3 linked regions of the Oreochromis niloticus genome follow. The main gene of each other region encodes a partner of the protein of the gene in region 2 in a complex. Links are inferred from orthologs where the notes say so. Each region holds a gene or a part of one and is shown on either strand. Other genes may lie near its edges. The genes, in order: lamtor4, flcn and lamtor3.

Region 1 (4,445 bases), on a different chromosome or scaffold from region 2:
TGCTTCACGATAAACATGGCCTCCTGCCTTTACTGTATTCAAAAACAAAAACTCTTGTTAGCATGTTTATGCACATGCTGCAGGACCTGCACATCCTCACCCACACACGCATCCATAACACACAAAGCCTGGATATTTCATATATTGTTTATCTTTTGTTGCTGAATTTTTTAATGTTGGTGCAGTTTGCATAAGAAATGTTTCCATTGATGAATCAGATGTTGATTTCCATATAAATTACTCTTGGGGTCCCCTGGTGGTCACATGGCTTCATGTCATAACTGGCAAAAATACAAGAATGTCATGCTTTGGCCTACAGCGGGAAAATGGTTGAATCTGGTATAGTAAAAATGTCAAAAATCACTACTTTTCTTTAAAATTAAAAGATGACACTACAGAATGCATGCTTTAAAACTGCAGTGGCAGGGAGATTCAAAAATGTGGTTTCAGTGGTAGTGAAGGGCATGTTTGTATCCTGTCCTGTCGGGCAGCTTTTGCAATCAGAATTATGATGTGATGGCTCGCTGGTGTCCAACACATTTTGCTTTTGCAAAAATAACTCTATAGAATCTAATAGACTCCTCCTTCATGTGAATCTTTTATTTATCCATTTGTGTTTGTGTTATTTCAGGTATTACATTATATATGGAATAGTATGACGTGCCTGAGTGAGTGTGAGAATACCGGTGTCTTTGTCACAAATGTATAATGAGGGTGGGAAACTGCAGCGATGCCCAGAGGCAGACAGATGGAACCAGGACAACCGCACCATCCGCAGCCCCCAAGTGTACCAAAGACCTGAGGCCACACATCTCGGTGACATCTGCGCACCCATCCCAGCAGGAGAAGGAGGGAGGCCCCAGATGGGGTGACAGCCCAAGAGGACCAGAGGCAGTGGGCAGTCGACCCTGCTAGAGGCTGACCACCCTGGTAAGAGTTGAGAGGATGGCCCCAGGCGCCCAGGACCACCCGGCCCCCAGCCAAACCGAGCCACCAAGGGAGCGGGCCAATGACCACGACTAGAACATTCAGCCACGTTTCCGCGAAAGCAGAACATATGTTACTGTATGAGGACTTTATGGCAGACTTTGTGTGTTTACATTTTTGTACACGAAGGTGTTGAAAGGGTGCAAAATTGGAGGAGGGCACAAAGGTTAAATCATGTTTTCAGGTTTTTAGGGTCTGCTCACAGCAGGTCCTACAGGTGGGATCCTCCGCATTCACACCTTCACAGTTCCACTCGATCAGACCAAAGGTTTCATGTTCAAAAACTTTTATTTCACACAAACTTTAAACATCAAAAACATCATCGTCATGGCAACTCTGTACTCCAGCTGAGCTCCTACACACTGATTGGCTCTTGCTGGTTGTGCTGACGTTTGACCACAAAGACCTTCTGACCAGAGACCGTCACTGTGTACACAAAGTCGTCCAGGATCACTGCAGACACACACACACACACACACACACACACACAGGTTAGTCCACCTGAAGTCACAGGGTTCCACCTGAGCTTTGTATGCCATCATGCAACATGAACAACGTGCTCATCAAATACATGAAAATGTTGCCGATGATGCGCCAGGTTTGAATCATGTGACAGTGATGACATCATTAACAGGTCTGAGAAAAACAAAGCAAAACACCCGAGTCATGTTTGTTTTTACTGTAGCTGATGAAGTGAGAGTGCAGGTGTGTTTGTGATACCTGACATGCGTTTGAAGGGTGGATCAGCTGATCCTGATAACCTGAAGCGACTCGCTGTTCGAACCATCTGCATCATGACACCTGCTGTGTGCTCGTCATTCTCCAGCTCACCTGCAGACTGATCAGTAATCAATAATCAATCACTTTGATCCTCTTCTGATCAATAGACTTAACTCGACTCTTTAATCTATTTTAATAATCTGATGATCCTTATTTCACCCTGTTTATAGCACTTTAATAATCCAGAATAATCTGACCAAAGACCAGAGTTCAGCTCGCAGTATCAAATGTGAATTCATTTTAACCTGTAGGAATGTTAAATGAGCTTAAATCTAAATGGAGTCTGGTCTCTGTGTGACCAAACTAGCCTGAGCACCAGCGTCCATGCAGAAATCCCCTTATTTAACAATGAGTGCGGTTAAATAAAGACCAAACTGCATTCATAAAGAACTTCTTTGTGAACTGAACATCTGAAAGCTCAGAGAGACTCACGGCCAGGACACCGTCCTCACTGATGACCAGGTACCCGAGCTGGTCCGGGATCCGCTCCAGACCCGCAGTGAGCGCCGCTGTGGCCTGAAAAGAGGACGACATCATCAGGATAACATCATGAAGCTAAAAGGAAGTGATGTTTGATGACTCATTGGTTCACTGATAAATGAAAATCAGCAGGGCAAGAAGCGCGTTTCCTCAGGTCGAAGCTTCAGAGACTCGCTAAACAGCCTTAGATCATTTGTCCAGTAACAATTCTGGATCTTCATCAGGTACGACCTGTGGTCCTCAGGAGCCAATGGGGTTACCCCTTTAAAGATGGTTTCTTGGTTACCATGGTTACATTCGTCCTGCATACATGACACACACTCCCTGTTTCACAGGAACACAGGTTAGACCCCAGGGCGCAGGTAAACCCGCTTTGAATGTCACTCCCCCTCCTCTCTGTTTGTACCACTCCCTTCCTGCAGAGGGGCGCTGTTGCTGTCCCACAGGTATTTGCATTGAGCCCGATTATCAGTGATTATAACTCTGAAGAGAGCCCCAAGCTTCACCCTTGGAGCGCTCTGGGTTTCATTTTTTGAAGGGAAGCATTTCCGCGTGTTTATCCTCCTTGTTCACAGAGAGGCTAACAGGAAGCTAACAGCGTTAGTGAACGGCACACAGCGGACAGTCCGAGATCCGTGAACGCCTCACCGAGGCACTGAACGCTGAATTAAAAACAAAACAAAAAAACCCCATAAACAACCCCCCCAAAAACGAGAATCAAAGTAAAACTTTAAACTCACCATCTTCGTCTTCTTCTGCTTCTACAGCCCGCAGCTGCGCATTTCCGTCTTTATCACAGAGCCTCACGTGACTGCTGAGGCCTTCATGTCCTGTCGGACAAAAGAGCCAGACACAGACACTCACGCACAGTGCGGGACTGACGATCTGTGCTTGTCCCGATTATCAAAGCAAATACGAATAAACGTTTGTGACATTTTAGGAATGTTTGGATTAATACCGAGGACGTTGCTGTCTAAACATGACCTCATTGTTGCCATTCCGATAAAGATGAAAATAAAATAAAACACACACACAAAGGAAGTTTGATCAAATAAATGAGTGATCGTTTATAGTTTGTTAATTTCTATAGGGGGCGCTATATTGAAGCGGAAGTGCGGGTCAGCTGATCCCTCACATGACCTGTCCCGTGAAGCTGAGTGTTTCTCTCCGGGAATCTCACCTGCATCTCCGTGATGGCCGGCCGCGGGAAACTGATCGCCGTGATCGGAGACGAGGACACGTGCACGGGCTTCTTGCTCGGCGGGATCGGAGAACTGAACAAGAACCGGAAACCGAACTTCCTGGTGGTGGAGAAGGAGACAAGCATCACCGAGATCGAGGAGACTTTCAAGTAAGATGGACTCCACACGCACACACACACACACACACACACACACACACCAAAATGTGTTAAAAAATCAGCCCATTTAACGCTCATTTCACGTGTTTCTGTCAGTGTCAACTGACCGAAGGTGTCGGTGGTCCTCGTGGGTCAAAAGTCAGATCGGTTTTATAATAATTCGGACAGCACCAGCCTGGAACCGTATTAACCCCTCGATGACTTCAAAAACACTGGCTGTAGGACAGGAGGCCGGCTGCGTTTTTGATGAAAATGCGAATGGACTCTGGTGTATTTGGGCCCAGTCTGTAACTACATCCAGCATCCTGAGTTTTCAGCCCTTAGATGATCGTCTGATAGAGTGTAATGGATTGATCAGCCGATCAATATATTAATCCAGCTCTCAGTTAATCTTCATGAAATGAACTTAACCTGTTAAACGCCGTAAAATTAGAAAAGACTTCAGTCTGTTCCTGTTTCTGTGGATGCCTAAACCTGACTTCAAAAATCAGTGTATCTTAAAAGTTATTCAGTCTTTCTGACTTCATTAAAACTACACATAAAAAATCGCGATCTTTGTAAATGTAGCATGTTAGCTCTCACACCGGACTCTATTGAAGAACCAGAGCTTTTTATTAAATCTGTGTGTATGAAATCAGCATTTGCAATGAGGGATATAATATTAGCACAAATTTAAATACTTTACAATAATTATGATATTTTATAATATATAATCTTTTATGATCGCTTAACACATTTTTTTCCTTTTGCTTAATTGTTGACTTGCATTTATAAGTTAGTTTCAGAGAAGTTGGTCTGGTGCTTTGGGGTTGTATTCCTGAAATTTAACTTAATGGCC
Region 2 (4,757 bases):
TTAGATTATCTTTCTACCCTGGAACACGGTTCATGTTCCAGTGTAGAATAATTGCACAGCCAACATCTTTAATGACTTTAAAAAATAAGAATTGGGTGTACCAGTTTGTAGAACCTAATCATTTTATAGCCAAAGTCTTTACTTGCCAAGGCCTATTAACTTTCTCTCGTTGCCAGCATAAACAGATTTGTTTGACAGCACTCGGTGGATTAACCAATACTTAGAACAATGAGAAAGTCAAAGGAACTCAGGGAATATCTAAGAAGAAGAACTGCAGATTTACACTAGCTGGGACGGTCTCTTGGATCCATTCTAACAAACAGATCAGAAAATACACAGATTCCAAGGTTATCAGTTAAAACCGTTGTATGCAAGAACAAATTATTCAGATATGTCACCACTTTACCAGGTTCTGTAAGAAGGCCCAAACTGTCACCGTCAGTTGATGCTGGAAGACTTGAGCCAGGAAGCATCAAGGCTCAAGTCTGCCTTGAATTGTCAAGCATTGTGCTCGAAGACCTTTTGACTGACAGTCAAATAATATGTTGTACAAAGTGGATGGGATAATGACCACGCAGTTGGTATTCCCACAGGATAATGATCCTAAACACATCAAACCTGGTTTTGGAAGGGATAAAGCAGGCTGGAAAAAAAACATTAAGCATCTGAAATGACCTTCCCTAAGCCCTGACCTCACTCAGAAAATATGTGGACTATGCTTATAAGCTGAGCTGGTTCAATGAACCAACAAATCTAAATGAACTCTGCCAAGAAGATGGGTGAACTACCCAGCCCTCAAAATAGGCCAGATACTTACTGAACAATTAAGGTGCAACTTCCTAAGGAACATTAAACCAAATATTAGAGGGAGCGTATATATATATATTTTAGTTTGTATGTTTATTTTTGACACTGTGTGGATTAGAGAAAATCCCAAATAAATTCAATTTTGCACATTCAGTTCTTGTTTTTTAAAGTCATTAAAGATGTATGCTTTACAGTCATTCCACCCTGGAAAAATAACAGTTCAACCAAATCATTTAAAGCCCAAAATTACTATGAGAGTCATGTTCATGATGAGCAAACTTCTGACCACAACTGTATATACATAAATATCACGCCTCTTAATCGAGGTCAATACATCTACCTGTTTGTCTCTCTATGAGCACCAGAGTGTCCTCGGTGGGGGCTCCTTCCAGGAGCTTCTCCGTCAGACGGCTACCACAAGCTTTAAGTAACCTGGAAGTGAGGTGAGACCACTCATTAGCCGGGTGAGAGACTGACTGGAAAAAGAAGAACAGTTTCTTTGAACCTAATGACTCACCAGCTAAAGGAGGAGTGCAGGCTGGCCCACAGGTTAGGATGCTGGGTGAGAGAAGTCAGCGAACGGGCTGCATTGCCGCTCCTTTGGTGTGGAAAAACTGCAGGTGAAAATGCACTGTTCATCCTCACAGCTCGCTGCGGACAAACTCCCTGTTCATTGTCAAACACCTAATGGAAAGGATGGTCCAAAGACATCAGAAGCACTAATAAATAAGTCTGCTGAGTTTATTATGTTTATATACGTGCTCTACCTTTAGAGCTGTGCTCTGCAGACTCTGTATAGTAAGCTTGAGGTGACGCAGCAGGAAAGGCCAGGAGTTTATAAGGTAGATTCTGTCCATGGCTACCATAACAATACTGTACCAACGCTGGAAGCCTCTAGCGAGACTGTCTTTGATAAAGAAGGTGTGTGAGAACACAAATCCATGTTGCTCATCTCCAAAAAAAATGGGCCCTTCACGTCCGGGACAGACCTGACACCAAAACAAACAGAAAACATAAAGAAGTATATCAGTAATCAGCCGATTAAAGCCCACAGACAACACCCACGTAAACATGTCACTAATTACCTCACAGCTGAGACTGCGTACACAAGCCTGTCGGACCACGCTGAAAAGCTGGGGCTGTCTGGGGTGCTGGTGGCTGAGGAAGCGGATGCCTGTTTCATCATCAATGCTAACAAAGCCCGGGTGAGATGCAGGCAAGGATCGGCAACCCTATGAGACAAAGAAAAAAGGAAATTAGTACTTTAAGGCTGAAAATTAATGAAGAAACAAATAAAGCGAGGGATCCAAGTATCTGATAAGGTCGCAGTCAGGCCCCTTCTACTCACCTCACACATTTCTTTCTGTGTGGCTGAGCTGTTGGCCTTCATGGTTAGACCTTCACCATCACGGTCACCATCTCGGTCCCCTGGCACTTGGGCACCTGCCTGGGATGAAGGGGATGGGGAAGGCGGGTGTAGTGCCTCAGTGCAGAACAGGGTCCGAGGGCCATGGAGCTCACAGAAGTGACAGAGAGCCACCAGAGCATTCATCTGAAAGAACAAAACAAGTTTTCATATGTTTACTGTTCTAAAGATGTCTGATTTAGATCTGAACACCCACAGTCATGACACCCACATCTAGTTCTGGTTAATCACTGACGTTACCAGATTACACTGGGGTTAAAATACGGGTACAGCTGGCAGTATGAGACTGTCTTACCTTCGGTGCAGAACCAAGTTCAACAAATGACTGGTGACACTTCACAAAGAGGAATTCATTGGACGTAGTGTTCAAAAAGCCGTGCCGTTAAAAAAAAAAAAATAACAGCGCCGTGAAACAAAATCAAATCTTCATCGAGCCCGTATTTTAAAAAACCATCGTTCCTAACATCTTAACTGAGGCTTTCTACACTTTTTTGTTGTCCTCTGTGTAGCTGCCAGCAGGCAACAAAAACAGACCTCGTCACATGATGCAGAGTCACGCGCTCGGGCACAAATGACGCGTGGCTGCCAACTGCTGCTCATTTTTCTCCGTTTTAACCGTCGAATCAAAAACATCTTTAATACTTTACCAGCGACGTGAAAGCACGCGAACATATTTAATAGTTTTTCAACTTTTTTGTGTGCCAATATCAGGCTTTATGTACGACAAACGACGCATTCCTCGGCAAACGAAAAAGTGGAACTACATTACCCATAACCCAATCTGGTATAACAAACAAGGGGTTAAAGGGGAATAAAAAAAAAGTCGGAACTGTTTTCATTGAAGGTTTGTGTACTAAAAGGTATGTTCCGGTTGATTTCTAAGCGTATATATGGTTTAAATATACTATCTTAGCAGACTAGCTGGTTTATTAGCTTCTCTTTTAACACTGTACAACGTTAATCCGTCACTTCCGCATTAAAACATGAACGTTTTTTATAGGTGTGTCACTCTTAAGTGGTCAACAAAGAGATAACTTACACACAGTGACACGGCAGATCTTTTTGACTTCTAAATCTCAGATCTTAGGATGGCTTCAGGTGGATCAGGAGTTCCCCCCACCGACCCGACTGACACACCGAGTCCACAGGCAGGGGTCCCCGCTGACTCTCAGAGCGGCAAAGACACCCCAAAAGCCAAAGGAGGTAAATCAGTTTCACACACTTACAATATGTAATCTAAAGTCAGTCTGTGAAAGCTTCTAAGGTGATTTGAGGCACATCTTGTTATTAGACATGCACAGTAAAACCCTGCTGGTTGACTCATATGATTACACCAGCTTATTATTTTCCTAGTAATCCACTTATAAATCATATTGTTGAGTCTGTGGTGTGAGTCTGTGTTACTCTGGGCAATAGGAGTTCTGGCCAGGTCTTAGTTTTGTAATCGCGTGGCCGGAGCCTCTTATCATCAGAAGGGGGGCTGAAGGATGGAGTCCAGTACTGTAATGAACTGTTTCCTACATTTTTCACGTCCTGCTGGGGCACTCTGCTTTGCTGGAAATGTTTCAGGATTTGAGGAAATGACTGACTCTGATCTGCCCGCTTCTGCTCCCACTCGGAACTCAGCAGACTAATCTGTGGATTAACTTTATGTATACTAAAGAATTTCAAAGTTGTAATGTTTAATTTTCATCCTTAGACATTTACTTATAGGCATTCAATTTGAGAGAGAGTTAAAAAACTACCAAAATTTGTGGCTGATCCAGACAACCATCTCCCTTTCTAAGAAATAAATCACAGCTAATAATTAAAGTATTTGTGTCATGAGTCACGTTCATTCATCCTGTCTCTAAATAGTATTGCAGGATGTGTGTTATTTGGGTGTAAAGGCAACCTCATCATGTACATCATACTTGGCTGACATTTGAGTCCTCTGAGTTGAGTCATTGCCACTTGTCATATGATAATACTCAATGGAAGTGGACTGGAGATGGACTATACACGTCATTTTCCCCATGCCTCTTTCTCACTCATTTATTTATGACACAGCATGGTAACGGGAATGATAAGAGGGGTTTCTAGTAAATGAACAGACGATAAGGAATCCTTTTTCCAGATGTCTGTGTGAGTGACATAGACTGATGCAGAAGCTCAGCCAAATGTAAACACACGCAGAAGCAAACGGTTAAAATATACGTGAACAAAAAACAGAAAGAAAAGTACTGCACGGCTCTCATGGCTGATCTGACAGGTGCTCATTGGTGGTAGAGGTAGAAAAAACAAAATCCAAGAGAACTCACTCAGTATTATGTATATACAGTAAAAGCCCCGAGGTACTTCATCAGGATCTCATATTTTTTTTCTTCCACTTTACTTTAAGAATGAACTTAAAACTTGTACTTGTACCAGAGGCCATAGTTGTTCATTAGTTTTCTATGGTTGGAATTACACCACATAATTTTGGAAATTTTTCATGGATTTTGGTTTAAGTAGAAACATACTACATCTTCTAAAAGTATGGTAT
Region 3 (4,757 bases), on a different chromosome or scaffold from region 2:
GGAAAGGGAGATTAAAAAAACATAATCACGTGATTACTTCTTCTTCTTGATTTTAGTGGCTGGCAAACTACAAAGTGTCGCATTAGCGCCACCCACTGGTATAGACCTGAAAGGTGCTCAAAAATCACTTTCTTCTCTTTTTGTAGTACATTGATCACCTTTCACTTTACTGAGCTTGGATCGGTTGCCTATTCTCTATTGGTGTTTTTCGTATTTGATGTAAACTGCACAGAGAAAAACACCAACAGATGAATATATGAATATGTATTCATTATATGAATATGTCTTCCCTCCATCATTCCTTTCTTTTCTTTCCCTAGTTGCTTTTCTACGTTTCCCCAGTTTTGGTCTTATTATGCTCTTTATTTTATCCAGCTGCCGTTGGTAATTAGATCAACTGAAATTCTTTCTTTGGCTTCTTTTACAGCCAAATCTAAATGTTCTTTTCCTTTTATCCCATAATTTGCTGATAAGGGTGGTACATTGTTTCTGTGCTTTGCACTGTCACCTGAGAGCAAAAGATTTTCTGGCTTAAACCCTGGCAGGTTCTCCCTGTGCTTGCAAGGGTTTTCTCCAGCTCCTATGAGACATCCATGTAACATTAAGTGGTCATACTAAACTGGCCAAATGTGAACTAGATCATCTTAAACAGTGTATCTTGATTGTGGCCCTGTAAATTTACCCAGTTCCCAGTGATAATAGTTCTCTTTTGATTTCTAGTGGCATTTCCTTCATCTGTATCTCTAATACTGTTGCTGGGGTTGATTTAAACACAGTGTGCAACGTCTTAGAGGCTCTTATTGAATACAGTTTAACTTGTACAACTGTTGCTGAACCATACCCGAGATCACAGGTATCAAACTCCAGTCCTCAAGGGCCAGTGTCCTGAAACTTTTCCATGTGTCCCTGCTGCAACACACCTGAATAATATAAGTAGGTCATTAGGAAGACTGCAGTCAGCCATTTGATTCATGTTACAGCAGCTCATAAGTGAATGAACATGGTGCAATAAACGTACTTTTAGACTTTACTTCACTTTAATTTACTTCAGTAGGATTAGGGGTTGCCACCTCAGCATGCAGTGGAGTTCTATAGAGTCTTGCAAATGACCTACTAATTTTATTCACATGGAAAAGTTTCAGGACACTGGCCCTTGAGGACTGGAGTTTGACATCCCTGATCAAATACTGATCTGATTGACCCGGTGTATACAAATTTCTATCTATGCCCATTCGCTTCCAACTAAACACCTCGTTACATTTGATACTTTTTTGCATTCTTCTTGCACACATTGCTCCGTTGTCTGCAAAACATGAAATCCTCCAACCCAGGTAGATGAACTGCAGGTGAGTAATCATCCCAGAGAGGGACTTTCCACAAGTATAATTATTTGTTTCTTAGATGGGAGAATATAGGGTGGTACCCTGGTAAGTACAGATAAGTAAACAATGAATAGTTAAACTTGTCCTGTGAGCAAACACTTAGTGACAGTGTAAAGGAAAAACTCCCTTTTAACAATAAGAAACCTCAGGCTAAGGGAGGAGCAGCCATTCTCTACAACCAGTAAAGGGAAAAAGGGAAAGAAGAGAGTAAAGAGAGACAGAATCAAAGGCAAACCATGTAAGAGAGAAATAATCGCTAATTATTAAATGCACCAGTGGTGTATAAACACAAAGAGATTGAAAAGAGATGAATAAAAAAGAAATGCTCAGTCCATCACGGGAAGCTCCCCAGTCTTTTGCAGCATAACTAAGGGGTGGTACAGGGTCACCTGATCCAGCTGATACACTTTATCAAAAATGGGAACCTTAAGCCTAATTTTATAAGTAGAGAGAGCATCTGCCTCCCTAATTGAAGCTGGGACCTAAAAGTAGCGCCTCAAAGCTAAAGGCTATGTTTTCCATTCAACTTTTAAAAAATCTAAGAATCATAAGGAACCCTGCAGTCTGAAAGCAAAGTTAGGATAATGAGGTATGAGGTCTTTAAGACACAGTGGGGCATAATTATTCAAGATTTTGAATTCTCTCTGCTGCAGCCAAAGGCTTCTCAAGCACCTTTCAGAGTGACCTGATGGAACTCTCTAACTGTGTGAAGCTGTGATTAAAACCACTTTGTTGCAGTTACTTTAATACCAACAGTTTGTATCTCTGCAGTAAAATACTGTGCTCAATAGTAATGAATGTTGCACTGAGCATCTAGCAGATGCTGAGTCTAGCAGAACAGGCACAGGGATGAGTTAACTGTCAGAGGCCATAAGAAGACAATTCACTAGTGCTGTTTCTGTGCTATCATGCACTCCACATCCTGACTGAAACCCTTGAAACTGTTCCTATGCAAATGATCAGTGAACTGCTTGACTACTACTCTTTCAAGAATTAAAAAAATAAATAAAACAGGTGCGTCAGCCTACAGTTTTGGGAACAGGTAAGGCATCACCCTTTTACCTGTTCCCATAAAGAAACTGAGACTGCCTCTCTCCTTCTAGTATTCTCTCTGCACAATAAAGGGAGGGTCTGTATGTAAAAGCAGTTCTCTGACCAGACTGCTTCATGTGTATGGCGTGGCAGTGCGATTTTCCACTGTCTTTAATGAAAAATGGTGCTTTTGTCACGGTACTGTGTCTGTGACCCAGTGTTTTGCGTGTTTTAGTTTTCTTCTTTGGTTAGTGTTATTTTCTCAGTGTTTCCTGGTTTATTTTGAAAGAGTCTTGTGTGTCTTTGTCATTGTGTTTCACTTCCCCTGTCTAGTCAGCTGTTTCCCTGTGTGTTTTCACTTCCTCTGATCACCTCCTGTGTGTATTTAAGTCCTCGGTCTTCCTTTGTTCATTGTCAGGTCGTCTGTTTCCCTCCACGTCTCGTCACAGTATTCACAGTCGTCATAGTTGATTCATAGTTCTACAGTCTTGTCACAGTTTTCATAGTTTTTTAGTTTTTCCCAGTTTAGGTTTCAGTTTAGCTGTCGCTCCTTGTTTTGCCTTTGCTCAAATTTTATGTTCATGTCTACCAGCCAAAATAAACGACTCGCTTTTGTTTATGATGGGGAGCTGAGCACCCCTAAAACTCTGAACCTAAATTTGCCCCTCCCCATTCTTACATGATCTAAATTACATTTTCATCTAGGTCAGCGAAAAGAGGTTAGGAATAGACGATAGGAAGTACCTTTAGAGAGTGATGGGATGCACTGTGCCAAGGCTTCGGAGTGTGTGTCGAAATATCCAGGAAGTATTTTATGAAACGTGAATCGAGGCTTGTTTCCTTAAGAGTGAGTGATGTCACTGACGACGCCTGAAGCCTGGCTGGTTCAGAAAGTGGTGGTGTGATTTTTGCTCATATATGGAAAGCCGTGGATTCCTGTAAAATTTGTGTGTTAGTGTTCGTGCTTGGAATCGAGAACTGGTTCTATGGGCTCAAATGTGGTCATAAATATTTTGTACTTGTAAATCAGGATTTGTATGTGTAAAAAGAATTTGTGCGTGCGTAAAAAAGATTTGTATGTGTAAAAAAGATTTGTGTGTGGACTTAGCCAAAAAAAACCCTGCAAGTTACAAGTACGAATTTTGACCCTATTTTTCTTCCTGTCATCTGATTGGTCAGTGTCATGTCAATCACAAATGTAACAATCCAATCAGAGAACAGATGGGTTTGGCTGTCGGAGGGGCACTTTTTTGAACTGCAGGTCCTTGAAGGGTAATACAGTTTGAAGCTGGAGGATCTCTATATAAATATCCGATAGCAGCTAGGTCCCCTTACTTTCAGCAGCTGTTGAAAGGATAAAGTTGTGGTATGTCAGTGGTTAGAAATACCATTATTACTTTAGGATTAGTTTAACACAAAGTCAGGGCTGACCCGGGACCATTGCTGTGAGTCACAGTGCGCAGCATAAAGGTCCTTTCACATCGGACGCAGGATGTGCTGCTAATGCTAACTGCTAACTAAAAGCAAAGGATCCAGAATTTGTTGCGCTGGCTGCTGAGCTCTGTGGGTTTTTGCAGCAGCGCTACCTGTACTAGATGCACCTGCTCCTTGTCGTTTCTATCTCTGACTTTATGTCCTCTACAACAGTTTCTGGTTTTTTTGCTAGTTCTTTAAATGTTCAATAAAAACATGTATGCTAATTCATAACGAAGAAAGCTTTGTAATGAAGACTGTCATTTCCAAAACACTGCCCCCCCCCCCCGCGGTCCGCAGCGCTGTTGAAAAGGCTGTGGAAGTCCCTGTATAAAGCACGTAGACCTGTGACACAAAAATCACCAAACTCGGACGACCACAGACTGTTTTCCTTCGTGGTGATGAAGGAAAACGCTGGGTTGGCATGTAAAAGGGCATTTATTCCCTTCAAGGACCTGCAGTTCAAAAAAGTGCCCCTCCGACAGCCAAACCCATCTGTTCTCTGATTGGATTGTTACATTTGTGATTGACATGACATTGATCAATCAGATGACAGGAAGAAAAATAGGGTCAAAATTCGTACTTGTAACTTGCAGGGGGGTTTTTGGCTAAGTCCACACACAAATCTTTTTTACACATACAAATCTTTTTTACGCACACACAAATTCTTTTTACACATACAAATCTTTTTTACGCACGCACAAATTCTTTTTACACATACAAATCTTTTACACATACAAATCTTTTACACATACAAATCTTTTTTACGCACACACAAATCTTTTTTACACATACAAATCTTTTTTACGCACGCACAAATTCTTTCTACACATACAAATCCTGATTTACAAGTACAAAACTGATTTACAA

The links.
Region 1: flcn (region 2) and lamtor4 share a complex: the UniProt entries of both Homo sapiens proteins name them as parts of the lysosomal folliculin complex. The link is inferred for Oreochromis niloticus from reciprocal best matches to the Homo sapiens genes FLCN and LAMTOR4.
Region 3: flcn (region 2) and lamtor3 share a complex: the UniProt entries of both Homo sapiens proteins name them as parts of the lysosomal folliculin complex. The link is inferred for Oreochromis niloticus from reciprocal best matches to the Homo sapiens genes FLCN and LAMTOR3.

The regions. Positions count from the first base shown.
Region 1 is NC_031981.2:23,194,826-23,199,270, forward strand, and holds lamtor4 (ragulator complex protein LAMTOR4), read right to left. Parts: upstream 3,097-4,445; 5' UTR 2,991-3,096; coding exon 2,988-2,990; intron 2,284-2,987; coding exon 2,200-2,283; intron 1,826-2,199; coding exon 1,708-1,825; intron 1,441-1,707; coding exon 1,343-1,440; 3' UTR 1,257-1,342; downstream 1-1,256. Other genes in the region: atp6v1f (V-type proton ATPase subunit F), read left to right, coding at 3,441-3,598. UniProt on the Homo sapiens protein: As part of the Ragulator complex it is involved in amino acid sensing and activation of mTORC1, a signaling complex promoting cell growth in response to growth factors, energy levels, and amino acids.
Region 2 is NC_031976.2:22,273,691-22,278,447, forward strand, and holds the start of flcn (folliculin), read right to left. Parts: upstream 2,771-4,757; 5' UTR 2,529-2,770; intron 2,360-2,528; coding exon 2,156-2,359; intron 2,040-2,155; coding exon 1,575-2,039; intron 1,492-1,574; coding exon 1,325-1,491; intron 1,240-1,324; coding exon 1,148-1,239; intron 1-1,147. Other genes in the region: leng9 (leukocyte receptor cluster member 9), read left to right, coding at 3,322-3,436. UniProt on the Homo sapiens protein: Multi-functional protein, involved in both the cellular response to amino acid availability and in the regulation of glycolysis.
Region 3 is NC_031983.2:3,098,320-3,103,076, reverse strand, and holds the start of lamtor3 (ragulator complex protein LAMTOR3), read right to left. Parts: upstream 3,241-4,757; 5' UTR 3,159-3,240; intron 93-3,158; exon of another isoform or gene 1-92. UniProt on the Homo sapiens protein: As part of the Ragulator complex it is involved in amino acid sensing and activation of mTORC1, a signaling complex promoting cell growth in response to growth factors, energy levels, and amino acids.